Nothobranchius furzeri: one gene and its partners. The protein of the gene in region 3 interacts with the protein of the main gene of each other region in a pairwise test. Links are inferred from orthologs where the notes say so. Each region holds a gene or a part of one and is shown on either strand. Other genes may lie near its edges.

Region 1 (7,905 bases), on a different chromosome or scaffold from region 3:
TGCAGCTGGCAGAGGGTGCTCTTGTATTCCTCCAGCTGATTCTGGAGCCCTGGTAGTTTCTTCTGGGCCAACAGTTTCTCCTGCTCCTTCACACATTTAGCACAAATCCATAACAACATGAATTGTGTTGCATGTTTACACAGAACAATGTTGACTGGTGATTTTATTTTATATTTTGAAAGGACCCCACACATAAATTGCCTGTGTGTGTGAATGTGTGTGTGTTCCACTGGTTCCAAGTGATCAGAGACAAGCTTTATTAACCATTGGCTTGCTTTTGCTGGAACAAACACAGCTCCATAACAAGGAACTGGGCTCACAGTTGTCGCCCATGGAGACTTAACTCAACCAATTAAACAATTGCTGCGTCTGAAGCGGCTTTGCTGCTGAGAAATATTTAAACAAACAAATCTCCAATCTTCTACTCTGACACCAGCCACCTAGGCGGACTGACAACAAAATTAGCATGCGCAGTCGTTCTTCGTGGCATTTGCTTCATTATGTGCCCTGACACTTTTAAATTGCTCACCTGCGCAAGCCTTGATGAGTCACTGACTCTCTGTCCTCACTGAGCATCCACTCACAAATGTGCACAAAAACAGTTACATGTTCAGACCATCAGTTGGACAGAGAAGCCGGTAACCTCATCAGCCACAACACAAAGCAAGGCTGACATGCATGCAAACACCATCTCCTCCCTCAGGGGGAGTAGCACGCGCACACACACACACACACACACACACACACACACACACACACACACACACACACACACACGCACGCACGCACGCACGCACGCACGCACGCACGCACGCACACACACACACTCACACACACACACACACACACACACACACACACACACACACACACACACACACACACGAGTGACAACATTAGTGACTTTACCTCAGAGATGCCAACTGACACATTAGGACCAAGAGGGAGTGTCTGGTTTATTTGCTGCAAAATGTTTACATAAGTTTGGATCTCTGCAAGGTTCTGGACAACAAAAGAACAGAAGACATTTTAAATGTGGAAGGGAAATATACAACACAGCAAACTTAGTTGTTTTCTAGAATAAACTGTCTGAATCAGTCTAAGCAGAAAGGAAATTGGAAATCGACTACTGTGTTCATTGTTAACATTCATAGTTAACATGGATTCAGTAAAGTCCTTTTGTTTGCCCAAAGACATGGTCCAATATATCCCGTTGGTCATCGCACACTGGTGACATTGGTCCTATCCCCGTGGGGAGTGGTGAGCTGCAGCAGTGGCTGTGCTCGGGAACTATTTGGTGGTTTAACTCCCCAATCCAACCCCTTAAAGCTGAGTGTCAAGCAGGAAGACATTGGGACCTATTTTTAAGGTCTTTGGTTTGACCCAACCTCAATTTGAACCCATCTCCCAGCCCCAGGGCGGACACATACCACTGAGCCACTGAGCTGGAAGGTTTTCTTTTCAAATCCATTTACACCAGTATGGTGTATGACTCTGATAAACATCATCTAAACATTGTTTCTCCAAAGAGAAACTTCAGAGTTCAGCAAATCCAAATGTTCACTGTAAAGCCTTCATGTCCTTTGTCAAGGTGCCTAAACACAGCAGTCACGGGATTAGTTCATCATCAAAAGCAGTGCTGAATGAAACTTAAAGTGAGACAAACTGCATGGGCACAGGAAATCTATTGAAAGTCCAACTGATGCACAGAAATTTCAGGTATTTTTTCCTGCCATTGTGTTCCAGTGGTTTCTGCTACACAAAAGGACATCTGTTAGTTTCTGTCTTTTCAGTCATGTGATGACACACAAATGAAGTTGCTAAAGCCGCGGGTTGATCACAGCACATTTCCTGGCACTCTCTTTAAACCTTTGAGTAATACTCTTGTTATTTTCACGTTATCAAAGCGTAAAATGCATTCTCTGGTTTTTATTTTTCATGTTGTGTTTTTTTTAATGTGAACTCTGCATCACTTTTCAGTTCTTGTGAAATAAAGCAATACTACTAAATTATTTAACAAACAAGCTAACGGGTAATCCCAGTAGCTAAAGAAATGATAAAAACACATCCTGTGTTGCTTTAAGTTTCCTGAGTTTTGGCGTTTTTATTTTGCTGCAACCAGGCATGAGCATAAATAGAAATGACTGCATTGTAACAGCTTGGTTACCTGCCTGAGGAACATATCTGACTGCAGACACATCGATATTTAAAGCTGCTGAGATTTCAAAATTACAAAAACAAAATCTGATCCCAACCATATGTCTTTTTGAGTCATTCCCAGTTTGTGAATAGATTTTGTGGATTACTGGTCTCTCTCCCAGCTGCCTCCCTGTCCTCCTGCTGCTGCACATGGGTGGCACAGAGAGCTTAGAATGGGGACCAAATGCAATCTTATCTGTAGCTGTGCAGATTCTGGGACATTAAGTCCATTTTCTGCAGAAATACTTTCCACGTCATGGTTCTGTCACAATGTAAATGATTATTATTTTTGTTTAAAAGAGATATTTTACTTGATGATTACTTTTGATACTCTAATTAAACCTGGTTTGAATCGGTGTAATGTAGCAAATTTTCCAAAGAAATTTAGAAATTTACCAAAATTATCTATTGTTGAAAAGTGGAGCTGATCAAGATCCTCTTGTGGTTACAAACTAAATATAATCAAGAAGATGACTAAAACTTTATTTCGTACATATTCATTCATTTCAAAGTTTATTTTACTTTTGCTGACCTTCTTGTGTCTGTCTCTGGTGGAATTGATGTCATCTTGCAGAAACTGAGACTGGATCTGATACTCCAGATTTCTTAGCAGAGCAGTGTCAGCCTCCTGCAGCGGAAAATAAAGAATGGCACATTCAAACAATTGTGCAGAAAAACTGTTAGAATAATAAAAAAACACACATATATATATATATATACATATATATATATATATATATATATATATATATATATATATATATATATATATATATATATATATATATATATATATATATATATATACATTTTTCCACTATTGGTGAAAATAAACATTCTTTGTGTCAAACAATGGCAAAATCACTAAAACGATGTCATAAAGTACCTTATTTAAATTTTCCAGAGTGCTCCGCAGCTGCTCTTGTTGATCACACTCATTTTTATATCTGATAAACAAAACATCATGATGCTTAGTTCAGTGAAGGTTGACACAAAAGGCATGAAAATGGACCAAAATTAAAGAGACAAACATTTTCTTTCCAGCAAGTAAAAACAACAGAAACAAAACAAACTAGAAAACTGAATAATTTTCTGAATATTTTGATTTTTAACGATTTTGTTTGAGAAACGATGCACTGCACGCACCCAGTTTACACATCAGTGAATAAATGTCCAGCTGTTTTGAAATATCTATCATTGAAACTAAATTTCTCTTATGGAATTTCGTTTTTTCCTGAATGAGGACTTCCACAGGTTTTTGGTCCTTGTGCAACATTATAAAATAAAAATGCAGTAAAAACAATTTATTTCTGTTTTTATAAAAGCAATACTTGTGTTATATGCAGCTCACATCTCAGTATTTCCTACTGTTTATAATCAGTTACTGGACTTCTACTCTTTCTAATTTCCTCACAACTGTATGTTTCACATTTTCTTCTGTTTGCACAGCTAAATCTCATTGAACACTACCTTCATGTTACTTCGTTTTTCCTCCAGAGATTTTACTGTATCCCTTTGCTGCTGCAACAGAGAAAACTGCTCAGGACTCAGACAAAGGTTGTGATCTATTATTTTTACTTTCTTAGATTTCTAAGCCATCACTGACTTGTTAGCTCTAATTACATTGAAGGACATTGAAGCACGCTCCATCTTCGGGATGAAACTTTGGCCTTTGACTTTGAGATAAAAGCTACCCTCCTCCTTACTTGTTGGTAAACTCATCCAGCATCCGGCAGGATTCCTTCAGCTCTCGCTCGAGTTTGGCTCGGTCAGAGCACAGCTCCCTGATGCGTTGCCTGTTGATACCAATCTGCTCTGTAAAGGTTTCCTCCAGGCCACTGGCCTCTTCCATCCGTTGCAGTGTCTCCAGCTGTTTACGAAACACGGCGTTCCGCTGCTCCAGGACTCTGGCCCGGTTGATGTATCGGGCAAAGCGACTGTTGAGCTCCTGCAGGCTCTCCCAGCCCTGGATGGCTGAGATGCCGGCAGAGGATTCAGGGTCCCTGGTGTCAACATCAAAGACGTCGGAGCGCTCATACTTTTCCTTGCGCACCTCGCGCCGGTAGCTGCTCTTATACATGGTGGTACACTTTCTCTGGGCTGATGGTCTCCCAGGAGTTCTTGGTCCCTTTCAGCACCGTTAATGAAAGAAAACTTGGGTGCTCACCCTTGGCTGTCTCATGCTAGACTAAACGCTGCAAAGCAATGCCTGGTAACCAGTGTGAGCCCATATGGCTTCTGCTGGCTCCCATGGCCTGTGTCACCAGTCCAGGACCTTCCAGGGTTTATTGTTGCCTTTGTTGTGGAGATTTGAAAGGCGATTCGGTTGATGACAATGCAGAAGCAAAAAAACAAACAACTGGCCATCCTGCGAAAGAACTGGGTTGACACCGACCATTATTTTGGTTCTTAGTCAGCTGCTTTGATACAGCGAGTTGGAATGCTGCCCCACTGCTGCTCAGAGGAGAAATTTCATGCCTTGCAGTTTGTACCATCACAGCAATTATTTTATTTTGCTGAGACAATGGGCTTGAAGCAGATGCACTGCAGTTAAATTTTTAAAAAAGTTTCAATTTTTCACATTTTTCTCACTGATCTTCATATATCCATTTGTTCTTTCCTTTTTCTCTTTCTTTTTCTACATTGTGACCTTTTACAGACAGAGTGATGGAAAAAAGAGACAAAAGAGCTCTTCTCCTGGCTCGTTCTCCAGTCTACAAAACAAGGTCATCCAAAGTGTCTCTCAAAAGGAATCTATGTAGCTGTCTGGGAAACAGCTGAATAAAACGCACCTCAAATGGCTTTACATCCGTGATTTTACATCCGGAATAAAACAAGAGCAGCCCACAGGTCACGGTTGGTCATGTAATAAGGAAATTACAGCGAGAAAACGAACCAAACAGCAGATAAATTAAAAGATTGCAATATTTTCCAGGTTTTCATGAATGATAAAAGGTATTGGGGGGGGGGGGGGGGGGGTCAGTATTGTTCCTCGAGGCAAATTAAATTGTTTCATTGTGATGTCACACTCTTAACCTCCTGAGACCCGAATTTGTACTTGGTGGGATGTAAAATTGTAAAATAAATTAAAGAAAAAAACTGAAACGAAATATATTTTTAACTTAAAATCACTGTCAAATGTTTCTAAATTTTAAAAATAAGAAGAAGCCAATGTCCTCATATGTGGACACAGGGTCTCAGGAGGTCAGATCTACACACCTTTACCCAAACTCTGCAGAGAAAAGCACCAATAAATGCAACAGACAATCCCCAAAGGGGAAAATAAAAAAGCCATTTTTAGTTTAAACCCCCTGCTGTTCTGTTTTTGTCTTCCACATGAACAACCTAAACTTGTGCAAAGCTAAATGGAGTGGAGGCGTTTTAAAAAACACATCTGCCATCAGCTGGGGGGAAAAGATTCACTAATATGAGAAATTCTTCTTTCTGTCTAATTTTACAGTGACATTTGTGTATTTTTAACACTTGCTTGAGCCCAGTTCACTTTGGTGTGGCAGATTTTGAAGTAACACTGAATTTTGAAGGTTTAAAGAACCCTGAACTAGATCTCCTTTTCTGTTCTTCACATATATAATGGAGTGTTTTGTTTCAGGAGAGGATACTTGAGTAGAAGGATCATTAAAGAGCGCCTTGAAAAAAAAACTTTAGAGCTGACACATTGGGACCAGATCAAGAGCTATATGACAAATCAGCAATTTGAGGGATTCAGAGACACCACTGGGAGGCTGGTGTAGAGCTAATAGTGGACATGGATCTCATCATATGTGGCTGCCGAGAGTTGGACATGATGACAAACTGTCAAATTTGACGCGTCTTTCGATTTCATTGTTATTCAAATTAACCGAGTGCAGCAACGGTGTACCTATTCACTTCTTCTTAGTGGAATTTGCTTCTAGGGCGCACGCATGCACTGCTGCCCTCCGGTGTTCAAACTCGTGGATCTTTGACCGCAGTGAACCAGCGAAGCCCAATATCCTCGGTCAGCTTACCTAGTTTGAGTAGTTTCATTACTCAGCAGCCACACCAACACGTTATATTTCAACCCATCTTAGACCAAGCAGTGTTATGGTAAATGCATAGATTTTTCCCCATGTGACAGTGTGAGTGTCCTGTCACCGTATCCCGATTGATCATGCACCCTGGCCACTTGACCACGGGGAAGTCCCTTTGGCTGTCTGGTTAATGCGCATGGCTCTCACCTGGGAGTCTGGGGATCGAACCCCACCCGGACCCCTGTTTCTCCACCTTGCCACACCCATTTATCCACAAACTATTAGTGAAAAAATTGCAGTTGAGCGACTCAAAAGTGGAGCAGCATCAACTAAAAGACCTGCTGTGTTTCTGTGGTCTCTCTCAGAGATCCACATGTGACCAGCATGACTACAGCCTCACATCGGAGCCGGTCCGCCTGGCCCAGCTGCTCCGGTAAACGGGAACAGCCTGCTGCCTGCTCTAACATCTGTTCCTAGCTCTGAAGTCATGTGGCTCTTAAGCTCATTAATTATTCAGCATTTCAAGCATTTAATTCCACTTAAAAAGAAGAGTTACAAAAAAATTCACCCCCTCAGAGTTGTGAGAAATGTAAACTAGATCTATTAAACCTAAAATGCTTTTTTGAACCAGGCTGTAAACATGTTTATTTCTGCTGTAAAATTGGCATTTTTAACATGGGAGTCATTGAGGATTTGCTCACTTCTGGTGCCAGCCCCTAGTGGATGAGCGTGGAACTGTAATTTTTGCCACTTCCATGATGACTTCAGGTCTGAGAGCCTGTGTTCAGTTCAATTTCTCCTGTTGGATTGGAGGGGGAGAGCATTCCATATGATTTCAGAAATCTTTCCGGGTCAGGCAATTTGGAGGAGGGAGCAGATGGGTAAAAATCATTTTGACGAGGCTCTGGATAGGTCAATCAGGGTTTAATGACACTATGCTCATAATGGGTAAGTGCCAACTTCAGTTGCTGTGGAGTTGCAGAAACTGTCAAACATGTCCTGAAGTTCTGTGATAAGTATGTGTAGCATCCAGAAATGGTCAGCTTTCATCCATAATTTGGCCTTTTCAGAGAGAGGTCATCTTCAGACATTAATCGGCCTCTTTGCGTCTTCCAATCTTCCGAGCTGCAAGAAATGTTCTACAGTGCGTGTTATTTATTTATTTATTTAAACATAATTTTATATGGAGGAAAAACCACTTGAGATGAAACATCTCGTTTTCGAGTGGGTCATCCTTTACAACAAAAAGAAGAACAAAAATTAAGAGCAAGACAGCAGAGCAAAAATCGAAATCCAAACATTACAACAATCATTTAAAGACACACACACACACACACACACACACACACACACACACACACACACACACACACACACACACACACCCTCAAAGGCTCACAATACTTCATCCCATGCACACGACATGACCCCAACTAGCAAGGACAAAACAAAAGCAACAGCCAGTTGAACAAATACAATTAGTAACATAGACAATTATTCCTGAAGATGATCGACCAGAGCCCTTCGAAAAGTTGTGAATAATGATAAACAACAAATAGATAAAGGAAGATTATTCCAATCACATGGAGCTTTGAAACCAAAAGCATGTTTCCCTACCTCTCTTTTCACTCCAGGAGCAACAAAAAAGATCTGGTCATTATGCCGCAGGCTGTAAAGTGAATTATAGGGAATTAAA
Region 2 (7,683 bases), on a different chromosome or scaffold from region 3:
CGGTGGGGTCTTCTGTTGTTGTAGCCCATCCGCCTCAAGGTTGTGGTTGTTGTGGCTTCACAAAGGCTTTGCTGCATTCCTCGGGTGTAAGGAGTGGTTATTTCAGTCAAAGTTGCTCTTCTATCAGCTTGAATCAGTCGGCCCATTCACCTCTGACCTCTAGCATCAACAAGGCATTTTCGCCCACAGGACTGCCGCATACTGGATGTTTTTCCCCTTTCACACCATTAATTGTAAACCGTAGAAATGGTTGTGTGGAAATCCCAGTAACTGAGCAGATTGTCTGGCACCAACAACCAAGCCACGCTAAAAATAGCTTAAATCCCCTTTTTTGTTCCCATTCTGACATTCAGTTTGGAGTTCAGGAGATTGTCTTGACCAGGACCACACCCCTAAATGCATTGAAGCAACTGCCATGTGATTGGTTGACTAGGCAATTGCATTAAGGAGAAGTTGAACAGGTGTTCCTAATAATCCTTTAGGTGAGTGTAGATCATTACTGAGACAAAAATTCAATGAATCGACCAGCTTTACTGGGTCATCTTGTGTCTTGTTTGAAAAAATAAATAAATAAAAAATTTAACTCAAGATATTGCCCAGTCCAAGCCTGAAATAATAAATACAAATCAAATCAATATTAGGTGTTTTGCTTGTAAAAAGGACTTGTCTGCTTCTTTACAAAAATGTTATACGTAGCATTATTTTCTACAGAAATGAAACTATAAATGTAGGAAAAGGACATGAGGAGCACATATTATTTGCATAACACCTTGTGCTGTTTTCTGTCTCACTAAAACAAGTCTTCTCTATGAGAACCGACTCGTTTGTCTAAGCATCAAAAGCAACAGGAACCTAGAAAGTACTTTGAAATTCTCTTGTCTACATGACTTACTTCAAACACCGTGAGACTGAACATCATGACATACTCATTCCGAGTATGGGAGAGGAAGAACATGCAGTGGTGCCATGCTCCGGTCTGCTGTGCAAAGTTATTCAGCAGCTCTTCTGCAGAGAAAAAAAGGAAGTAGGAGACCTTTCAGAAGTACACACTTTACTACTTCACTGAGAGGCAAACTGAAAGTTAGATACAGAAACACAGGAAATGCAGAAAACCTATGCAAAAAAACTAGACTACACACATCTTATATACATGTATACAAATATCTTGTCCAGAGATCCACTGGATATTTCTGTAACGGTTAATTTTATCTGGAGTTCAGAATTAAAGACAGATAAGCCTTTAAAATGACTTAACTGGAGACATTTTCAAACATAAAAACATTGAATAATACTTCTATTACTAGATTAACATAAGAATAGGTAGAAATCCACCATCTTTATTTTAGAAGTTTCTTAAATTCATATTGGCTTAATTTAACGTCACTGAAAGGAAATGAGGAGGAGGACGGATCGACTCGCATTAACGATTTGAGTGGTTAAGATTTAAAATTGAAGCAGATGATCACATGATCCTACGTCACAGATAGGGCTGGGGGTAAACGATTATTTTTAAAACGATTATTCTGACGATTATTTTATCGAATAGTCGACTATTCTAATGACTATTTAGAAAATTAATCTAATGATTATTTTTCTATTGCACAATTAACAAAAACCAGAAAATCTCAAATAAATTCCTCAAAAAAATTGATAAATTGTTACTGTAAGAGAATAAACACTACAGGCCTTCCATTTTGTATAACACTGCGTTTATTGTGTTGGTTGGTTATGTTCTGGTGACATGTAGAACTTGGGAGTGCAGGCTGCTGCCTGAGAGGTGGTAGAAAATGGAGTGTCTCCATGCTGCTTTGTTTTGGTCACTTATGTGCGTGAGGCGAGTGGTCTTACGGGTTAAACCAAACTCAGGTGATATTTTACACTAAACCGAAAACCCACAACACTCTAAATGTAATAAAAGGGAGATCTGCACCACAAAAAAGATGAACTCTAAACCAAAACGTAACAGCTTATCCCAACGCAAGAAGCTGTTAGCGAAGATGCTAACAGTAGCTTTACCAACATTAAGTTCAAGTTACCAAGTTTAAATAAACCAAAAACACCCAGCAGCAAACAGACCAGCACGGAGGAGAGACTGCTACCACCAAAACAGCTCTCCTAATGTCTGAAAGAAGCTCCTTAATGAAGGGAGAAATGCTCCCGGTGATGTTCTACATCTGCGGTAGAGACGAAGCAGCGCATCTGACCCCGGAAGTTGTTGTCCGTTGCTGGGAGACGAAGGCGGGCAAAACAGGAAAATAATCTAGTAGTGGACGGACATTGTTCCGGGTCTTCGGTGTTTGGCGGAGATGTTAGTGAAGGCGGAGAAGAGGGCGAACTAGAGGAAAAACAGGCAGATTCCTCCTCTATTTACAAACTCCTGGGGATGCAACAAGTGGGCGCGGTGCGTCGACTTCCGGATCTGACGTCGACAAATTTTTAGAATCGAGCCGTCGACTTCGTCGAGGCTTCGCTACAGCCCTAGTCACAGATAAGCTCTATTTGGCATGAAATATTTTTTCTCCATAAAAGATTCCCTGAGTTAATTTAAAGAAATGACAACATAAACATGATGCAACTAAACCTTGTGTAGGTGTAAGTGATGCTGTGATGGATAAAAATGAGCAACATTGCTTTTTGCTAAACAGATTTCTGTTCAAATTATTTTGCAATATTTAGGCTTCTCAAATAATTTATTTATGTGAGTTTAAAGTGATATTTGCATCTATTTAAAATTAGATGTTGCACAAACAAAGTGTTTATGTTTTAAAGGTCCAACACGCTAACGGCTAGTCGGACAGCAGCCTGGATCAAAATCTTAAAACGGATTACTTCATTGCAGTTCGTATGAATGTTATGAATGTTAAACTGAGGTCAGTTTTGCATAGCATGCTTAGCTCCATGATGTTTTTTTTTTTGCATGAATATACCAGCATCAGTTAAATGTGGCCTTTTTGGTGCATCAACGGTCAAAATCCAGGAATTCTTTAAAACAGAGTAAGGCAAAAATGATGTCAATGTCAAGGTGTTTTAAATAACGCTTGCAAGAACAGCAAATCTAAGAGATTGGAGCCATTATTGTGGGTTGATTCAGACTAGCTTAGCATATCAGTCCCATCACACTTGAACCCTGTTTCTTCAAACAAAAGCGGGTAATGATGATGACAGCAAAAAAAAAAAAAAAAAAAAAAAGTATATATACAACTTTTACACTGAAAAAACTCTAAAATGGCAGAAATTGTATTTTAATCGTAACATTTGTACTTTCTAAAGCCAAGCTATTTAATGACTACACTCTCCTTTGAGTTCAAACAACCATAACCCCAAATAATAATGAAAGTTTAACTTGAATTTATAAAGAATTGTGAATGTTGTGCGAGGTCTAAAACATTTTACAGTAATGACAAGACCCAAGCACCCGAACTATGTGCTGTTTTCCCTCTTTACGTCACACTCACCTATTTCTCTTTTCCGCTCATTAGTCGTGCAGTTATGAAAGAACTCTGTCATTAGGTTCTCCAATGCACGCAGGGATGCCTCCTCTGAAGCCTAAGCAATGATAAAAGAATAAAGGGCAAAGTTAAGCTAATTGTTCTGTAACACTCAAAGCACGAACCACTGAATTTCTCGCATCCACTGCAAAATCAGGAAACAGCTACAACAAAACCTATCCTCAAATTTAAATATGTATTAGGCATTTTTGCTCATTTCCAACAAATTCATTACATGCAACAGAAATAAAGTCCGGAGGGGTAGATACCATCAGTCGCAGTGGGCCCCTCCACATGTCTGTACCTGCAAACTTTATCATGCCCCTTTCTCTGGAACTATTACAGATCTGTGTGGGGATTTTCGCAGACTCTGTATCCCACACAAGCAGATCTGCAATATAAATATGCGATCTGGCTTCTGTTAAGGAAGGACGTCATAAACCTTGACCAAACCGACCCTTCAAAGACCATAGTCCCTGTGGCAGGCAAGTAGACAGGCTTAAATTCCTCAAATAAGCCACAACTTGCCGAGGCTCAACAATAGCAAACATCCGATTTTGTAAGAAGGGCGTCTTCATGAAGCATGAAATGGTTCAAACCTCAAACCGTTAGCTGGCTGATCAATCACAAATTCAATCACAAGGCAGTAGCACTAAATTTACGCACTTTATCTGCTCTTTCACTTCCCAAGACGAGCAACAAATGATCAGCTGCTGGGAAATATGACAGCAAAACAATGACTGATCAAATATGACATGCTAAATTTGACTCACCATGTTCAGTTGGCTCAGAAAGCTTTCTTCAGTCCACTTAGTCGCTGATTAATAACCTTTGTAGGCCGACATTAGTTATCTCTCTCTCTAGTACAGGCAATGCTAACGTTAGCTAAGGTGTTGCTGGTAATCGCAGACTGGCTTCATGATCTGCACGGCTGCTTAAATCCAAACACATTTCACCAGAAAGGGCCGGCGTCCTTGACTTTGCTTTAAAACAACACATATAAGACAGATGTTTTTGCCTTGCCAAAAGAAAATACATTTACCACACGAGTAGGTTGACCGTTGAACCACTTATCACAAAATGTGTTAGCTGCATTGTCATTTCTCGCCAACATTTACCGTTAAGTCGGCAATGTTCTCTTGATTTTTGTCGACAATTGAGCTAGTTTCCACTCTTCTAGCTCCGACACAGCGTGAAGCATTAATTACCGTCCAATGTCTGCCATTTCGACGCAAAATGACCAGGTTGCTAACGCTGTAGCGGATGGCTAAGTTGTTAGCTTTTCTAGGATGAAGACAATTATTTTCGTTAGCTTAAATGTCAGCCGTAGTCATGCTTCTGTGGTTGCTGCTCAAACCGTCTTTGCGTTTTATGATTCCTCAACAAATTATTAGGCACATTTACGATTTCAACCTTTCAACACTAAAACGACATAATTGTATATAAGGCTGGTGCTGTTATTTCCCCTTTCCCTTCTGAACGATTTGGGCGGCTCAAGTCAACAGCTAGCTGTAGGTTTAGGGTCTGCTTCGCAACTTCCTCTTTTGACACAAGCGGCCCAATCAGCGCGTGAGAAGTCAGTGACGTAGGAGGGACTTGATCTCCGGGGAGCTCTGTCACGCTGCGCCGCTACTTTTACAGGTTATTTCCATCGACATATAAATATCGGTTATCTCCGATGGTTATCTCTCTCACACAATCAGGTTAACACCAGATACTCAAATTTTTATGAAATCATCGATTAAATCCTAAATTTTAAAAGACATAAGTAATCTTCTGGGATCGCATTTTAGTGCATATCTAAATCATACACTAAAATATCTGGAAAACAAAAACCTTTAGACTACAAATATATAAAAATGTGAGAAGTTGTAATACACGGATAAACAATATTATTTATAATTATTATATATTTTTTACATGAGCATTACCTTATAATTATTAAAAATGCACCCCACTCCCCTTTAAAAATGCAAAGAAATTGTTTGCTTTTTGTCTGTGTGAATGATGTCATGTGTTCAAAATAAAAATACTCATTTGATGCCAACACTCTGGTGAAAATGTAAGTGGTGTTACTTGCTTTTTTAAAAAGCTGTGAAATATATAAACATAGAGTATAAAAACAAACCAACAGCAGCTTAGAAGGTAAATAAAATACATTCCAAGCTAATATAATTAGGCTGATATATTAAATCAAGGTTCACATCATGTATGACAATTTATTGCCTGTAAATAAACAATGGCAATAACCGTACCGTAGAGTATAATTTACAGATTTCGAATAAGTGCATGTCATCCTAAGAAATTATATATATATATATATATATGTATATGTTTATATATACACATACTCACACACACCTTTGGTTTTTAGCCTGATGCCAAAGTGTGGTGTTTAGATAAATACAACAGCAAATGGTTTTTTCCACATTAACAACATTAGCATTGTGTTGTGTGTGTGAACTGGGCTTATACTGAGTGTTTGACATTTAAAATGTCAGTCTCTCATTTCTAAGGCTTAACATGTTAGGCCAAAATAAAAGAAGGTATTAACTGGATTCCTAGACAAATACAACCTCAGACAGACAAGAGAAAAACATGACATAGTTTATGTTTATTCATTTAGCACACTTTTATCCAAAGCGACTTACAATTTATAACCTATAGGGCATGTTGTGATCTGTGGGGGAAACCGGAGTACCCGGAGGAAACCCACGCATGCATGGGGAGAACACGCAACTCCACGCAGAAAGGCCGCAGCTGAGCCAAGTTTCGAACCTGCAACCTTCATGCTGCGAGGCAACAGTGCTAACCACTGCACCACCATGCAGCCTGGTGTATACCCTTATACATAGTGGTATAAGACCTTATTTCATTTGGACAAAATGAGCCTAAATGTCGAACTCCTGGGGTAAAAAGTCCATACTGCTTTAATAAAAAAGGAGAAGAACTCCTCTGTACATCTACTTATTCTATAGTGACATGTGATCAACAGTTGAAGCTCGTCTCTAAATGCTCCATGCATCAGTACGATGAACCTTTAGAACTTTATTTTATTTTTGTAACTACCTAATGATACTGTAAGATATTTTATTGTTGCCTTTCTGCATCTGTAGGGATCTGGCAACAGCTAGATGATTTTCATGCATTACTAGAGGTCAGTGTACTTAGTTTTTGCTATTGATAAAATAAAAAAGTACTGAAAATAATTTAAAATCTTCAATATTTCAATGAAGAAAATTTCACCTTTTTAACATTCTCCAAGGGATTTCAAGATATGTTTTCGGGGATTACTTTATTGTCAGCATCGCTCCCTGTTGCCACGACGCTATTATCTCTCTGACGAGTGTGCGTTCTTTGTTCTTGTATGTTATAAGCCCAGGCTCTGTCCACACCTCGACCCTCGACCCGGCAGGGACTCCAGTCTGGAAGGGGAAAACGTCCGGCCACCACTAGGGCGTCGTCAGAAAGCTCAGCCTTCAGCTTGTCCTGCAATAATGGAAGCTATCAAAAAACAAGGAAATAACATTACTGATTATGTAATAAAAAAAAATCAAGCTTATAAATGTAACACTAAATTGTTATTTTAACCTAAGAATTTAGATTAAATCTGTGTTTATTTTGATAGAAAATATTAACTTAAATTAATGATTTACTATACACCAATTCAAGCTGCCTTGAGGTTTATCAATTTAAAAACAAAGACATAACTTTATGAAATATTCTTCACATTACCTACCACACTGGGAGCCAAAAACACTGTGATGTTCTTGCATTTTGTCAAGTCAACCTGTGAGGAGATACGAAGCGAAATATGAACAAAAACACATATTTTGGTTCCTGCTATAGTTATACCATTATCACATAAAATGATCCAATTTAAAATATTCAGGAAATCTTTTTGAAGTGAGTCAACACAAATTTAAATCCTTACTTACGTCACATAAATAATAGTAAAAACATAAGCCAACCAGTTAAAGAGCTTAAAACTGTTAGCTTTGTAAGAAACTGATTTATTCTATAGTTATGGTCGTCCTTTGAGCTGCGGTGTCATGTAAACACAGCAGATATACAGAAAGACTGACAAAAACAAGAGATCAGTTAACTTCAAAATGTTGCCAAGCTTATTAGCAGTTTAGTTTGCAGAGAAAAATTCTGGGTATGATCATTTATAACCTTTATTTGGGAAAGCACA
Region 3 (7,408 bases):
TGCTGCATTTTAAGCCTTAAGACACGTTGAGATTGGATCACAGTATTCATTTATCTATGACTTTCTCGCAGCACTGACTGGAAGCATCAGCGGCCATGACAAGAAAAAGGGACATTTTGTCCTTTTTTACCGCTGTTAGTAAAGAACAGCGTAGACAGAGAGAGGATGAAAGTCATGAGGGAGCTGAGAAGCAGGATGAAGGAGAGAAGGAGGAGTTGGTTGGAGAGGAACCAGAGAGGTCAGAGGCTGTCCACCCTGAGAGTGAGGAGGAGGAAGATGTAGGCTGTGAGGGAGAGAGTGAGGAGAAAATGAGGGACATCTTCTGTCATGTGCACCGTGTACACTACCGTCAGGTTTGTGGGTGTTGAACAACCCCTCTGTGATTGCAGCTCTTATTGTGTGTAAAATACATTTGAAGCATGCTGACTCTGGACCAAAATTTCTGTTGTTTATATTTAATAAATAGATAAAATAAGACTGAATTAACTAATTATGACTTTTATCCTCATGCTAACATTTATTTTCTTTCCGATATCAGCAAGTGTAAGGGTGGCCCACCTACTCAGCATCATTTGAGGACATTTCCAGTGACATTAATAGGAGACAGAAGACGCAGCTTTCAGCCAAGCTGGTATGAAAGTCATCCTTGGGTTAAATATTCTGTTGCTATGGACTCTACTTATTGTCATGCATGCAGACATTTTAGCTCACCAAGTAGTGCAGGAAGTGTGTTTGACTCACCGTGTGGATTTACGGAAAAAAGCAACTGAGGGGGGTGGGTGGGGGGGTTCAGTACATGCAAAGTACTTTTGTTACAGCTTTATATAATGCTGTTCTGTGTGTGTGTGTGTGTGTGTGTGTGTGTGTGTGTGTGTGTGTGTGTGTGTGTGTGTGTGTGTGTGTGTGTGTGTGTGTGTGTGTGTGTGTGTGTGTGTGTGTGTGTGTGTGTGTGTGTGTGTGTGTGTGTGTGTTTGACTACAAAAAGCACTGCACTAAGAAATTGTATTGTGCACATATTTAATTTGTTTGAATGTTTGTTTTTCATATGTACAGTACATGTAATCTTCAAATAAAGTCACAAACTATAACAATCAACTAGAATTATTTTTTTACTCAAGTCTCATGTTGCGGTGAAGCATTCAGAATTGTTATCTGAGTACCATAAAGACATGCCAGTTTTACTTTCACAAGTAAACCATTACTGCATTCGCTGTAATAGATTACTTGTTCATTGCCTTTTATTATGAATTTATTTGAATCTTATTTTAATAAAATACAGCTGTAAAAGATCATAGATGAAAACAGTAAAGGAAAATTTTTGATAAATTTGATCCCCAAAATATAGTAAAGATAGAAATTAAAAAGAAGAGAACAAAAAAGTGAGTAGTTTCACAGTACTAGGAATTTCCTTTGGTAAAATTGTGCACAAGCACAAAATTAGTCATATGGCAGAGACAAAAAAGAATTTTGATATTGCCCTAATTTTTCCCTTTTTTTTCTTGCGCCCCCATGAAAAAATACTGGCCCCACTGTGGCCCCCCTGGAAAACTTGGTCTAGAACCGCCCCTGATATTGTATGACGAAAGACAATTTTTAATTCCATTGAAACAGTTTAGTGATGAAGTCTTTGTACAGAAACTGTCTGATTTTAATGCATTTCAAACTCTTCAGATGCTTTTGTTTGTTCTGATGCTAAAAAATAAAAAAAGCATAACAAGTGTAAATTCCCTGCAAGACTTAACATTTTTTATTGTTTACAGAGCACGGATAACTGTTTTCATGTTTCCCCATTCGTGGATTCTGCAGACATTACCAGCCTATGATGGAACAATCAATCTCGATGCTTTGGGTGGGAAGCAGCGGATGACAATGAAGCTCTTATTTTTAGCAGATTCTGCAAATTAGGACAAACTGTAGTCCATTTTTATATTTGTGACATGGCTGTTTAATTTCCTGGGAATTTTTTACTGTAGAAATGGTGAATTGTATTTTTTAACATTGTATTAGAATGAAAATCTCAAAGTGTTTTGCAACATACCTGTGAGGTTGGCCAACATGTTCTACTACCTTATCTGGAGCTGTTAAGAAAACCAATGCTTCTGCTTGTCAGTGCGCCCCAGGGCAGCTGTGGCTACATCGTAGCTCATCACCATCAGTGTGTGAATGGATGAATGATACACTGTAGTGTAAAGTGCTTTGGAGTCCTTACTCTGAGAGGTGCTATACAAGTGCGGGTCATTTATCATTTCTTGCACCCGCCTCCTTGTGTTTTTACATCTAATCTAGGGCTCAGGTAGAATTAAGCAGCTTGTAGATCATTACTGAGACAAATTACAGTTAAAGCTCTAAAATGATTAAGTAATTTAGATTATTTCAACTCAAAAAGTCTGGTAGATCTTTCATGTTTCAGATTAGATGTGAGAATTAGAGTCATGACACACCACATCAGGCTGAATGAGATCCACTGCAATTGTTTTATTTAATCACACTACCCAGAACATTTAATATGATCAATTAACTTTATAAAGAACTATTGAGAAAATATTTATCTTAATAAAACCAAAACAGAAAGTGAAATGAGTAAATCCAAACAAAAGAGCATAATGTTTATGCAGAGTTAAACTCATCAACAGATCAGTCAAAGGTTAAACGAAAGCTCTTCTCCTGCTCCTTGCGTTGGGTGTCGCAGAGTTTAGACACTTCTTCCACTCTTCTCTGCAGGAGAACCGAGTTCTGGTCGATCCACTGCAGCGAATCCATGTGGGCGTTGAGAATTTTACAAATCTGCTGGAGCTAAAACAGAGAGAAAGAGATGAATGAAAAAGGCAAACATCATAATGACAGGTTTAAGGATGACTTAGATCTGATCTTACTGGGTCACTGGAGTCAGCTGGGCCGCTGGATGTGTTCAGGTGCTCAATTATCTCCTTCAGGTCCTGAGACATCCTCTTCAGCTGTGCGTCTACGTTCTCAGCGAGCTTGTATGTTCTCTCACGCTCCTCATCGGCATTCTGCATGTAGATGGTTCCGCTCTGCTCCTTCACGGACTCCTCCAGCGGACACAGCAGGTCCTCCAGCTCCTTCTGCTGGGACAGGATGAAGTCCAGCTCCTGGTTCAGCCTCCTCTGGTCCAGCTTCACCTTCTCCAGCTCCTTGTGCAGGGATGTGATCTTCTCTCCGTTCTCCACCAGCATGCGGTCCCAGGCATTCACCTGAGTCGCTTGCTGTAAGAAATGTCTTTCTTGGTCCTCCAGCTCAAGACTCCACTTGTTTATGAGGCTCTCCAGCTGGGCATAGGTCATCACAGGAGGAGCAGTGGTGGTGGTGGTGCCGATTGTTGTGGCTGTTGTGGTTGTGCTTGTGGTGGATGTAGTTTTGAGTCCCAGTATGAAGCCCGTAGCTGTGCCTGTGGTGGCGGCTGCAGTTAGGATGGAGGCCGGAGCAGAGGTGGTGGTTGCTGAACTCAGAGGTTTGAGTGGGAAGGATAAGCCCCCTCCAGCTGCTGTGGTGGTTGCAGTGCTCACCGATGAAAGTGGAGCCGAAATTGGAGCTGCACCAAACATGAATCCTGGAGCTGCTGCTGTAGTGGCGGCGGTGGTGGTTATGGGTGTCGCAAACAGAGTAGGGCCTGGAGTCGGAGCCACCTGGGTGGTTGCTGTAGGGGCTGGGGTTGATGAAGGTTTAATCCCAAAGTTAAAACCTCCACCCTGGGTGGTTGGAGCTGCAGAGGCGGTGGTTGCAGGGGTTCCAAAGCTGAATCCCGCTCCTGTGGCAGCAGTGGGGGCTGCAGCTGAGGTCACCTGGACTTTGGGAGCACCAAAACTGAACCCTCCAATGGACATGCCACTTGCTGCTGTCGTGGCTGTGGGTGCTACCACTGACTGAGGCTGGACTTGTGTGGGAGCACCGAAGGTGAATCCTCCCCCGCTTGGTGCCACTGTTGCTACTGCTGGTGCAGCAGCTGGGGGCTGCGAGGTTAGCAGGCTGCCTAAGGTGAACCCTGACCCGGCAGCCGGAGTTGCTGCAGAGCCCAGACTCAACCCTGTTGCTGCCGGTGTTGTCTGAGGGGTAGCAAGAGCAAACGAGGCAGTAGGCGTGCTAAAAGACAACCCCGTGCCGCCTGCGGAACTCTTGGCTGGGGTGCCAAAGCTGAAAGAGGCGGTGGGGTTGGTCTGGTTGGCATTTCCAAAGGCGAACCCCCCTCCCGGAGCTGCTGAGCTGGTTAATGTAAAACCCGCGTTGGGGGCAGCGGCAGTGGTCTTCTGCGCTCCAAAGGCGAACCCTGCATTCTGTCCGAAGTTGAATCCGCCACTCATTATCCTCACAAGAAGTTAAACACAGCCGTTACGTGTCGTTTAAAACGGCCACTTCCTTGCCGAATCTTGTGGCTTTTGGCGGGTCGCTATGACCAACTCCTCCGACTGAAGTTCCTAAAATCCCCACTGCGTCTATTTAAGTAACTTTGCACAGATACGCAGGAAATGAATGAAATCACACGCTAATCAACGTTACCTTCCGAGGAATATAGAGCCAAAATCAATAACACATTGCTAAAAACGTGGGCCTGTGAACCGACATTTCCTTTAACAGGCAATTATCTGGCCACCTAAAGGAAGTGACGACACCCGAGACGCGGCATTCTCGTATGCCCTGAATTTTGTCTGCAGGGACATAATTCCGCCTATTAATTTATTTGGCAACTGTTTTATCCAATCAGAGTTATGATTAGATTTGAGGTACATGATAGGCTCATTTGACTGCCTGATAGACAAACATTCGGAAAAATATATAGTTTGGCCTTTACAAAGAGTATGCAAAGGCAAGATAGTTACAGAATAACGAGCACTATCAACTCTTCTTCTTTCATACACACGTGAATAAAAGACATTATTTAGGACATTATCGTGCATTTATACGTCTTTATTTTCGCAATTTACCGTCAATATTGACAATAATTTTAAATACAGCCTTTCAACAGAACTTCGTGTCGGTATACGCCAGGCAACAACGATGAATCCTCTTGAACTTTGTAGTAACTCTTTGAATTAGCTTGTTGACTTTTCTGCTTCGGTGGATTTAGCAGCGATCACTTGAAGTACACACCGGACGATACACAAACATTGCAGCGCGGCCGTAGTTATGGATGCTGAACCTGCATCAATTAGCAACGTAACTGAACAATAATAAATTTAACAGCGTGTTTGCGAGCTGCTGGGTTTGCTCAACGAGCTAGTGTCGTTAAATAACACTAAGTGTGGCTCGGAAGCCACCTGCTTCCTCCGAATAACTAGTAAACCCGGTCAACATGAGGCTTCTGAGGTTTCTGAGGAACAGCGTGTCAGTAGGGAAGGATATCGATTATTACTCCAGATTTTCTCCTTCCCCTCTTTCAATGAAGCAGTTTCTGGATTTTGGTGAGATGTATTCATATAACACTCTAGGGATGTAAAAATAATTCAATGCACTGAAATATCACAACATTTCGGTTTATGATACAGAATCGATATTTAAAAGCAGAGTATCTATTATTGAGAATTTACATGCCAACATTTCTTGTATTTCTTTTGTGTGGTGCAGATCAAACACTGACAGCTAGGTGGCAGCAGTTTCTTCCTCCTTCAGTCTGACAGACCGATATCTTGCGAAAACACTGGAATTGTCTGAGTTTTCCCAGTTAAATTCACTTAAAAATTGCAAAAATAGTCAGCCTTTTAGTATCTCAATATATCGTATCGTCTCTCCTGTATAGCAACATATTATATTGCTAGATACTTGCCAATTAACACCCAGTTTTATCTCAAACTCTTCGGTGTTTCTTGATGTCTTGGTCCTGCCCCGGTTGCCTAGGAGATACGTAATCAGGTACCGCCAAGGCGTGTTCCAATCATCATGTGCTACCGAGGTGTCTGTTCTTCGTTTGTTAGCTGTTTAGCTAGCTAAGCAAGAATACACGGGAGGTGCCTTCTTTACTGGTGGTTCCCAGAATATCTAAAATTAGGATAGGAGGCAGATCTTTTAGTTATCAGGCTCCTCTCCTGTGGAACCAGCTCCCAGCTTTAGTCCGTGAGGCAGACACCTTGTCTACTTTTAAGACTAGGCTTAAAACATTTTTATTTGATAGGGCCTATGGTTAAAATCTGATGTTAGCCTACATCTGGACAAGTGGGGGAGTAGAGGTAGGTGGAGTGTACAGTCGGTAAAGACGGCTCTCCCTTGCCCTGCCTCCAACATGCCTCCATCTAAAAAGGCTAGGTTATCCTGAGTTATCTCTGTAGTTATGCTGCTATAGGCTTAGACTGGTGGAGGATACACTGACCACTTTTCACACTCTACTACTTTCTTCTACAATCTGCTCTTTAACTGTATTATTTTCTGCAATTTCAGCTATTAACTTTAATTTTTCTCTAAGTGTTTTTCTCCCCAGAAGAAGCTACAATGATGTTCTGCTGAGCTGTGGTGGCCTCATGGATGGGGCCATCGTCTAGCACACTGCTGCTAACCACTAAAACATTCTCCCTCTCCTGATAATAACTTTTTGCTTTCCTTGACGTTGGATGTGCTACTGCTAGTTTACCCATTTAATTATAGATTCACTAGGATAAGTACAATAACGTTTATCTTTCACCAAATAGAATATTTACTAAGAAATCACAATGCAACCATGCTTGGTGTGTGTGTGTGTGTGTGTGTGTGTGTGTTCTGTCTTCTTGATCCCCAGTGAGTCGTGGTGGATGGCTGCTTATACTGAGCCAGGATCCTCTGGAGGTTTCTTCCTGTTAAAAGGGAGTTTTCCTCTCCACTGTCACTATATGCTTGCTTAGTATGAGGATTGCTAACTTGATGCAATTTGCTGGTTTCCTTATATAGGAAACATTTTTTCTGATTGGATGAACTGACCTGGATTGGAATGTTTATTATGTGAAGTGCCTTGAGATTTGGCGCTATATAAATAAAATTGAATAGCCTAGCCTTGGTCAAAAAATTCCCAGAATGCAGCGTGTTATTTTCAAAAGGATGGCGGCTCAGTAGCCAGCATCTACTTTGGGGGCAAATTTCCAGTATACATGTCACGTGAAGTAAGTGTTCCATTTGACTGTTTTCTTTGATCTAGGACGCCTGGCCTCGTAAGACATCGCCATGCGAGGCCCGGCACATTGACATTGAGAAACATCCCTTATTCTATCAGAATAAAGGCAGTATAAACTTCTGCCTTCCACCTAGCAGTCAGTTTGAATTGCACCACACTAAAATATATATTAAATGTTTGCATACAGCTTTTACATGTCAATTAAGGGTCATGACACAAAATATCGCGATATTTCACATTATCGATACTTTCTTACATTCCTACTCGGTTAACATCATTAGCATGGTACCTTTTGTTGGAAAACTTCATAATTAGGACATC
Region 4 (7,189 bases), on a different chromosome or scaffold from region 3:
TTTTCCCGGGACCGGATAAACATCGCTGGAAACGCCATGATTGGAATCATCGTTTGGTTCCGGGCCAGTGTGCCACTCAGGTAAACAAACAGGATTGTACATCCTCGGTGCATGTTGGGCGATCGTGAACGAACGGAAGGACAAAAGAGTCTGGCGATCATAGGAGATGGTAGCAGGGACACTACTGAAGAGGATCGCAGACAGGAGCAAGGCGGAAAAGAGGAGGCTAGTGGAGAAAAGTCTGAATGGATCAAGAGATCCAGATCAGAGATGATTGGACTCCTTGGCTCGGTCGAGGGTCTGCCTAACACTCGAGGTTATGCCTAACGGTCAGGGTTTTGCGTAACAGTTGAGGTTCTACCTAACAGTTGAGGTACTGGGTAACGGACAAGGTTCTGCTTATACGTTCAAGTTTACCGGTCAAGGTAATGCCTAACTGTCAGGGTTCTGTGTAAGGGTTGAGGGTTTGGCAAACAGTCGAGGTTATGCTTAGACATCAGTATTTGGTATCTGTGAGCAAAACTGATGCAGGCTTGAAAAATAAAAGTAGAAATTAATTAATAAAAAACACTTTTATCTCATCAACTACAGAACCTGCCTAAGTTATTTATGTTATATTTCTAGAGGATGAAACCTCTTGAGATACATCATCTCATTTTCAAGGGGGTCCTCCTTTGAAACACTAAACAATATAAGATAGAAAGACTATCAGTGGCATGAACTTAAACTAACAATACAAACAAACCAACAAAATTTAACGAGAGAAGAAAAAACACCTCGCCTTGACAACATGATTACATCAAATGCCAAACTCAAAAACAATTACAATGGCAACTTGTTAGCTGACTTGAACACACACCTAGAGATAAGGTAGCTGAAATATGTGTGGTTTTCTTTCACATTCAAAGCTGCACCTGGCTGCCCTATCACTATGTACCGTGACACTAGCCTAACGTGCAAGTACAACATTGTAAAATAAAGCCCCGCGCTGTTTGACGGACAAACTTGTCTAATTCTCTTTGTGTTTTGTTAAAATCCAAGAGCCACACATGCACACTGGGGATGACCTACCCGTGTGATCTTGTGCTCTGCCTCTGTTCGTCTGGGTAGTGTTCTCTTTGGTCGACACGTTCTCCTGAAAATACCGCAGACAACTGTAAGGACTCAAATTGCAGTGCAGATACAGGAACCATCAGTTGGACTACTTTTTTTTTATTTATATATATATAGCGCCAAATCACGACAAGAGTCGTCTCAAGGCACTTCACATAATAAACATTCCAATTCACAGTTCATTAAGCCAATCAGAAATAATGTTTCCTATATAAGGAACCCAGCAAATTGCATAAAGTCACCGACTAGTGTCAGTGACTATACAGCAATCCTCATACTAAGCAAGCATGCAGCGACAGTGGAGAGGAAAACTCCCTTTTAACAGGAAGAAACCTCCAGAGAATCCTGGCTCAGTATAAGCAGCCATCCTCCACGACTCACTGGGGATGGAGAAGACAGAGCAGACACACACACACACACACACACAAGTAATGTGTCTATAGTTATATTGTGATGTCTTAGTAAATATTGTATTTGGTGAAAGATAAACTTTATTGTATTTATTCTAGTGGATCTATAATTAAACGGATAAACTAGTAGTAGCACATCCAACGTCAATGAAAACAAAAAGTTATTATCAGGAGAGAGAATGTATTAGTGGTTAGCAGCAGTGTGCTAGACGATGGCCCCCTCCATGAGGCCACCTCAGCTCTGACCAGTAGTTTGCCTGTTGTATTAATTTTACATCCCTTTTCACTACTGAAGCAACACTTCATGCAGCTTCTATGAGCCAAAGAAAAACATCAAAAACCAATCAGGAATCAAGAAGGAAATGTGATATCTGTTTATTTGTTTACTTCAGTTCAAACTATTTAGAATTCTGTCATTTCATCACATTAAGTTTGTGTTTTATTTCAAATACCTTCAGCTTTATTCATTTTCTGAATTTTTGTGTTGAATTGCTTAGAAAATGAATCATAGGACAACATCAAAATAAATGAAAAGATTCTGTATTTTTTAAGCCTGTTTTACACATTCAATGTTATTTAAACGGCATCCTGTACTTTTAAGAAGTATTGTTCTGCTGAAATTTATCTGGTCGTTTTGGCACAAGTAAACAGAAGAATGAATCGTGATTTATATCGTTACCCCATGTGCTTCAAATTAAATTGCGATACAGATTTTAGCCATATTGCCCAATCCTAGTCCAGCTGGTGACAAAAAGGCATGCAGCGAGCTTCAACAAGCTTCACTTGTATCTTTAGTTTACCCTGGAGAGAGCAAATGAAGCCAGACAGGGTTTCTGCAGGTTTAAGGGAGCCAAATTTAAGACTTTTTAAGACCTTTTTTAAGGCCACTTTGACCAAATTTAAGCTATTTTTAAAATTAAATTTAAGCTATAATTTCCAGCTATTGCCTGGAACCGGTGCTAACCATGTCGCGAACGTGGGATTAGCATCCTGTTACCATTAAACCTGCACTTCCCCATGGCGCAAGCTCCCACTAGCTTAACCAGCTAATGTGCTCATCTAAAAACAGCCCCCTTTCACAACCAGCTGAACGTGTACGGTTCCGCTTACGCCAACATCGTACACAGAAAATGCTGAACACTAACTAGAAATTCACGAAAATTTGACAAAAATAAAAGAATCTAGTTTATTGAGTCTTTGGTAATTTAAGACCTTTGGAAACTGGATTTAAGGATTATTTGTCATTTTTAAGGATTTTAAGGCCTTAAATTTGGGAAAGCTAATTTAAGACTTTTTAAGACTTTTTAAGGACCCGAGGATACCCTGGCCAGAGTTCTTTCATTTGGTTTTGTTAAAGCGGTCTGCTCTGATGGCTGCCAACACACTACCTGCTGTGACCTCCCCCGACCTTTGTGAGAATAGCTGTGTGTGTTTGTTGGTTTTACCTCCAGAGCGTCAAAATCTACCCCAAACTGCTTTTCATAGAGCATGGCCTGGAAGTCCTCCAGACTGCAGTCGATACTGTCCAGATAGTCCATGAGCTCCACCCTGTCAGGAGACACAGACAGCGTCATCTAAAGGGAAACCAGAGGGGCCTTTGGCTGAACTCGGATCAGTGTGCCTTTGGTACATCAGTGGTAGACTTCTCCACAACCTCAGACCCCGAACCCAAAGTGACCCGTTTGAAGCCAGAGCCCAAGTTTTAGTTTTTAACTGTTGCCCAGCGACTACTGCTCATCGTAACTGCATGTAACAAGCCCTCATCTTTTCCTGCACCTTAATACTGACTGAACTTCACACACAACCCAGATCAGTAACTGGCTGTCCAGCAACTTTCTTGTTCTCAGCGCCAACAAGACAGAGGCCCTGATCGCTGCACCCCCGGAACTTCAGCCAAAAATCGAGCAGGAAATTGCCTCTTTTTGCCCATCAGCCAAGGCCAACATTAGAAACCTGGGAGTTATTTTTGATCCTGCTTTAAGTTTAGACTCACACATCAAAACCATCTCCTGCTCCTGTTTCTTTCAACTGAGAAACATTTCAAAAGTCCGTAAACTGGTTTCTACTGCAGATCTGGAAAAAACCATCCATGCCTTTGTATCATCACGCTTAGACTACTGTAACGCTCTTTTTACTGGTCTCAGCAAAACCTCCCTCTCACGCCTTCAAGCCATCCAAAATGCAGCAGCCAGACTCCTAACCAAATCCAGCAGACGAGCTCACATCACTCCAGGTTTACAGTCCCTGCACTGGCTCCCGGTAGAATATAGAATACAGTTTAAAGTTTTAGTGCTGACCTATAGAGCTCTTAACAACCAGGCTCCAAGCTACCTATCTGAGCTTTTATCCCCACACATCACCTCTCGGAACCTTAGATCCACATCTGAAAACCTCCTGGCTGTTCCTCGAACCAGACTGAAAACCAAAGGGGACAGGGCCTTTCAGACTATTGCACCCAGACTTTGGAACAGTCTACCTTCAAATCTCCATCTCTCCAACACTGTAGAGGTCTTTAAAAATCATCTAAAAACTCACCTTTTCATCCAGGCGTTCCCTCCCTAAATGTTCAAAAAGATGGCTTTGTTCGGGTTCACACCTTCACTTTGTTTATACTCATGATTTTATTTTCTACTTTATCACTGCTATTGTTTTTCTGATGTTTTTATTGGTTAGAGGTATTTGCCCTGATCTTTATCATGTTGTACAGCGCTTTGTGATTTATATCTGTGAAAGGCGCTCTATAAATAAACTTTTACTTACTTACTTACAACCCAACATGTCTTACTTGAGTATTTTTTTTGTCAGAACAAACTTTAGCATCCTTTATTTGTAGAATTTGCACACAGACATATCTTCCCTCATGTATCTGCTGCCCAGACCAGACTCTGTTGACGACATTAGGAGCAGGACTCACTTTCCCAGAAGGCTGATGTTTTGTGAAATTGTTCCGCTCTCGTTGAGTATGGAGTCCATCATCTTTAGCGGATCTTCTAGGCTCAGACCAGAGGGCTTATTGAGCAGCAGAGCGTTGCTGGTCGCTCCGCCGCCGTTCGTCTGGTTCTCTGCTGCTGATTCTTTAGCTTCAGCCTGTCTGAGGTCACCTGTACAGGTGGGGTTGGCCTCCGTCTCAGCTGGCAGCCCCCCACAGCCATCCAGTTCTACTTCCACAATTTCTAGATCACTAAGGAAGAACAACTCAAATCAGGCTCTCTGATTAGGCACGGCAACAACAACCTGGAGGTTGGTAGTCTCACCCGTGTTCACAGGCTGGAGTTGCCTCTGTGATGTCCGCGCCATCGTCAGCATCATTCTCAGTCAGGTCACAGATGATGACATCATCTACGATGTCCCCACCCTTCACACTGTTCAGACGCGGACCAGCATCGCTGACCGGCATCTAAACAGCAAACGGTGGGGGTTAGTAGGTATTTGGTGAAGGATTTACCAACATGGTAAGACTTAGGCCTAGTCCACACGTAGCCGGGTTTTTTTAAAACGAATATCCGCCCCTCCAAAAGCTCTGTCCACACGTACCCGGATAAATACGTTGTTAAGGACATGCCAGACCTGTAGGCGGCAGTACTTCCCCCGTTCTTGACCTCGTCCTTCGTCTGTGGTCTTCCACAAGGAGCAGTAATTCCTCTTGCAAAAACAAACAAGCAAAAAGCGCTTGGACGATTGATAAAGCGAGCGCAGCTCTGAGGGCGTCCATGCTGTCGGCTAGTGTAAACACAGGTCGCACACGTGATGTCAGCATATTTTTGTGGCGGAAAGTGACGTTGCGGCCCTTAAAACTCCGGTTTTGTCCGTCCACACGCAGACACCCAAAACGGAGAAAACGCAGATCTTCACTTTGGCCGGAGTTTTTAAAAAGATCCGTTTTCGTGTGAAAAAACTCCGTTTTCGTGTGGATGACAGGCCAAAACGTAGAAAAATATCTATGTTTTGGCAGATCCCCGTCTACGTGTGGGCAGGGCCTGATAGGCCTGGACGTTTTCCCCACAAAAAAAAACTTTTAAAAAACTGGTGATTTTATCTGGTTCTCAGCAGGTCATCACACCCATAAACAATATGGACACTTCCACCAAAAGAAATGTACATTTTGTGGCCAACCACACCCTGCCCCACCCCCAGTTTTTGTTGTAAAATTGTAAATTCTCCTAAACTTGCTTGAATGTTGACTGCTATAATGCTATAACAGACTGACCTGGTCCACACGTGCTTTATCCTCATAAATCTGATGAATGTATTTGGGTTTCTGCCCATTGCTGTTCATAAGAATTGACCTGTAAAAAAGGAAAGCATGAGCTGGAAGCAGAAATATATCATGGTTTACTGGTCTAACACGTTTCACCCTCACTAAACATGTTTTTACAGCATAAATCCAAATGGCTGTTTTACTGAAAAGATGCACTACTTCACAAGTACATCAACTAAATCCCTTTAAGTGTGCCACGTTGTCTGGGATTCAATCTAATGACATCAACTACAGCTTCAGTTAAAACTAGAATAAGACTTGGCTATAAGCTGTTACACTAAGCACACCGTTTTGATTCCTATTCCAGAGGCTTGAGGATGAAACCCGGATTAAGGTAACAGCACTAGACTGGTTCAAGTCTAATTTATCTGATCTAGTTAGTTCTTGTTCATAATGAATCTCTTTCAGCAGATTTTGTCATGGAGTTCCTCAGGGATGAATGCTTGGTCCGATACTCTTTACTTTACATGTGCTTCCACTGGGTCAAAGGATGCCATTGTTATGCTGAGGAAGGATACCCTTTATCTATCCATAACGCCTGATGAATCCCATCAGTTTAAGTATTTTACGAGCACTCTTCAAACACAAAGACCTGGACGACTCCAAAACTCCTGTTCGCCCTCGTCTTCCTCACTAGCATCTTTTCAATCTGTTTCTGAAATTTCAGTATTTTTCGGGCTCCCGTGTTTACTTTATTCTCATTCTTTTATTTCTACCCCCCCCCCCCCTTTTTTTTTTTTGCTATGACCCCTTTTAATCATTTTTAAAATGTTTTTATTGGTTCTTGTGACGTGCCTCGTGATTTATATTTTAAGAGGCGCTATATTTAAAAAAAATCCTTTCTTCTTCTTCATTTCAAAACTCAGAGCAGACAGAGGTTATGGGTTTTGGACCTAAGCTCCTGTGGTGTTGTTCTGGACCAGGATCGGTCTTTTAGCTCTCTATAAACACTAGGACCGACATCAGTGTGATGTTGCTACAACCATGACCATCCTGACCCAAAATGGTGCAGATAAACTAGTTTATGCATATTTTACCTCCAGACTTGATTATTGTAATTCTCTAAGATCAAGATGTTCTAAAGGTTCTATTAAAGGCATGCAGCTTATTCAGAATGCTGCTTTCAGAGTTTTGACAAGAGATCGGATTCTTCTCCATTTAGCATCACTTCACCAGCTCCCTGTAAAATTGGGAATTTTACATAAGTTTTACTTCTAACTTCTAAAGTTCTCAACGTTCCAGAAGTTCCCACCACAGTACTTGGGGCTCAGACTGCAGATCTACTTGCAGTTCCAAGCGGTTCTAAAGGTAAAACAGAAGGCTCCGTTCTGGTGGAACCAGCTTCCAGTTTCCATCTGTGAGGCAGACACCCTGTCCAGTTAGGGTTAGCTCGAGTTATCCAGGCTTA

The links.
Region 1: the proteins of nup62l (region 3) and filensin interact in binary tests that used the Homo sapiens proteins (3 or more experiments, as listed by UniProt). The two-hybrid records come from large-scale screens. The link is inferred for Nothobranchius furzeri from reciprocal best matches to the Homo sapiens genes NUP62 and BFSP1.
Region 2: the proteins of nup62l (region 3) and xpo6 interact in binary tests that used the Homo sapiens proteins (3 or more experiments, as listed by UniProt). The link is inferred for Nothobranchius furzeri from reciprocal best matches to the Homo sapiens genes NUP62 and XPO6.
Region 4: the proteins of nup62l (region 3) and hsf2 interact in binary tests that used the Homo sapiens proteins (3 or more experiments, as listed by UniProt). The link is inferred for Nothobranchius furzeri from reciprocal best matches to the Homo sapiens genes NUP62 and HSF2.

The regions. Positions count from the first base shown.
Region 1 is NC_091752.1:33,913,329-33,921,233, forward strand, and holds the start of filensin, read right to left. Parts: upstream 4,444-7,905; 5' UTR 4,280-4,443; coding exon 3,906-4,279; intron 3,147-3,905; coding exon 3,086-3,146; intron 2,828-3,085; coding exon 2,732-2,827; intron 1,003-2,731; coding exon 910-1,002; intron 87-909; coding exon 1-86. UniProt on the Homo sapiens protein: Required for the correct formation of lens intermediate filaments as part of a complex composed of BFSP1, BFSP2 and CRYAA. Involved in altering the calcium regulation of MIP water permeability.
Region 2 is NC_091752.1:51,430,702-51,438,384, forward strand, and holds the start of xpo6 (exportin-6), read right to left. Parts: upstream 5,028-7,683; 5' UTR 4,607-5,027; intron 4,472-4,606; 5' UTR 4,265-4,471; coding exon 4,262-4,264; intron 3,547-4,261; coding exon 3,456-3,546; intron 1,006-3,455; coding exon 893-1,005; intron 1-892. Other genes in the region: antkmt (adenine nucleotide translocase lysine N-methyltransferase), read right to left, coding at 6,759-6,992, 7,228-7,278. UniProt on the Homo sapiens protein: Mediates the nuclear export of actin and profilin-actin complexes in somatic cells.
Region 3 is NC_091754.1:20,874,695-20,882,102, forward strand, and holds nup62l (nucleoporin 62 like), read right to left. Parts: upstream 4,508-7,408; 5' UTR 4,317-4,507; coding exon 2,874-4,316; intron 2,794-2,873; coding exon 2,635-2,793; 3' UTR 2,456-2,634; downstream 1-2,455. Other genes in the region: pdk1 (pyruvate dehydrogenase (acetyl-transferring) kinase isozyme 1, mitochondrial), read left to right, coding at 5,306-5,414. UniProt on the Homo sapiens protein: Essential component of the nuclear pore complex. The N-terminal is probably involved in nucleocytoplasmic transport.
Region 4 is NC_091742.1:27,398,724-27,405,912, reverse strand, and holds part of hsf2 (heat shock factor protein 2), read right to left. Parts: intron 5,810-7,189; coding exon 5,731-5,809; intron 4,921-5,730; coding exon 4,778-4,920; intron 4,705-4,777; coding exon 4,438-4,704; intron 3,072-4,437; coding exon 2,969-3,071; intron 1,136-2,968; coding exon 1,072-1,135; intron 1-1,071. UniProt on the Homo sapiens protein: DNA-binding protein that specifically binds heat shock promoter elements (HSE) and activates transcription. In higher eukaryotes, HSF is unable to bind to the HSE unless the cells are heat shocked.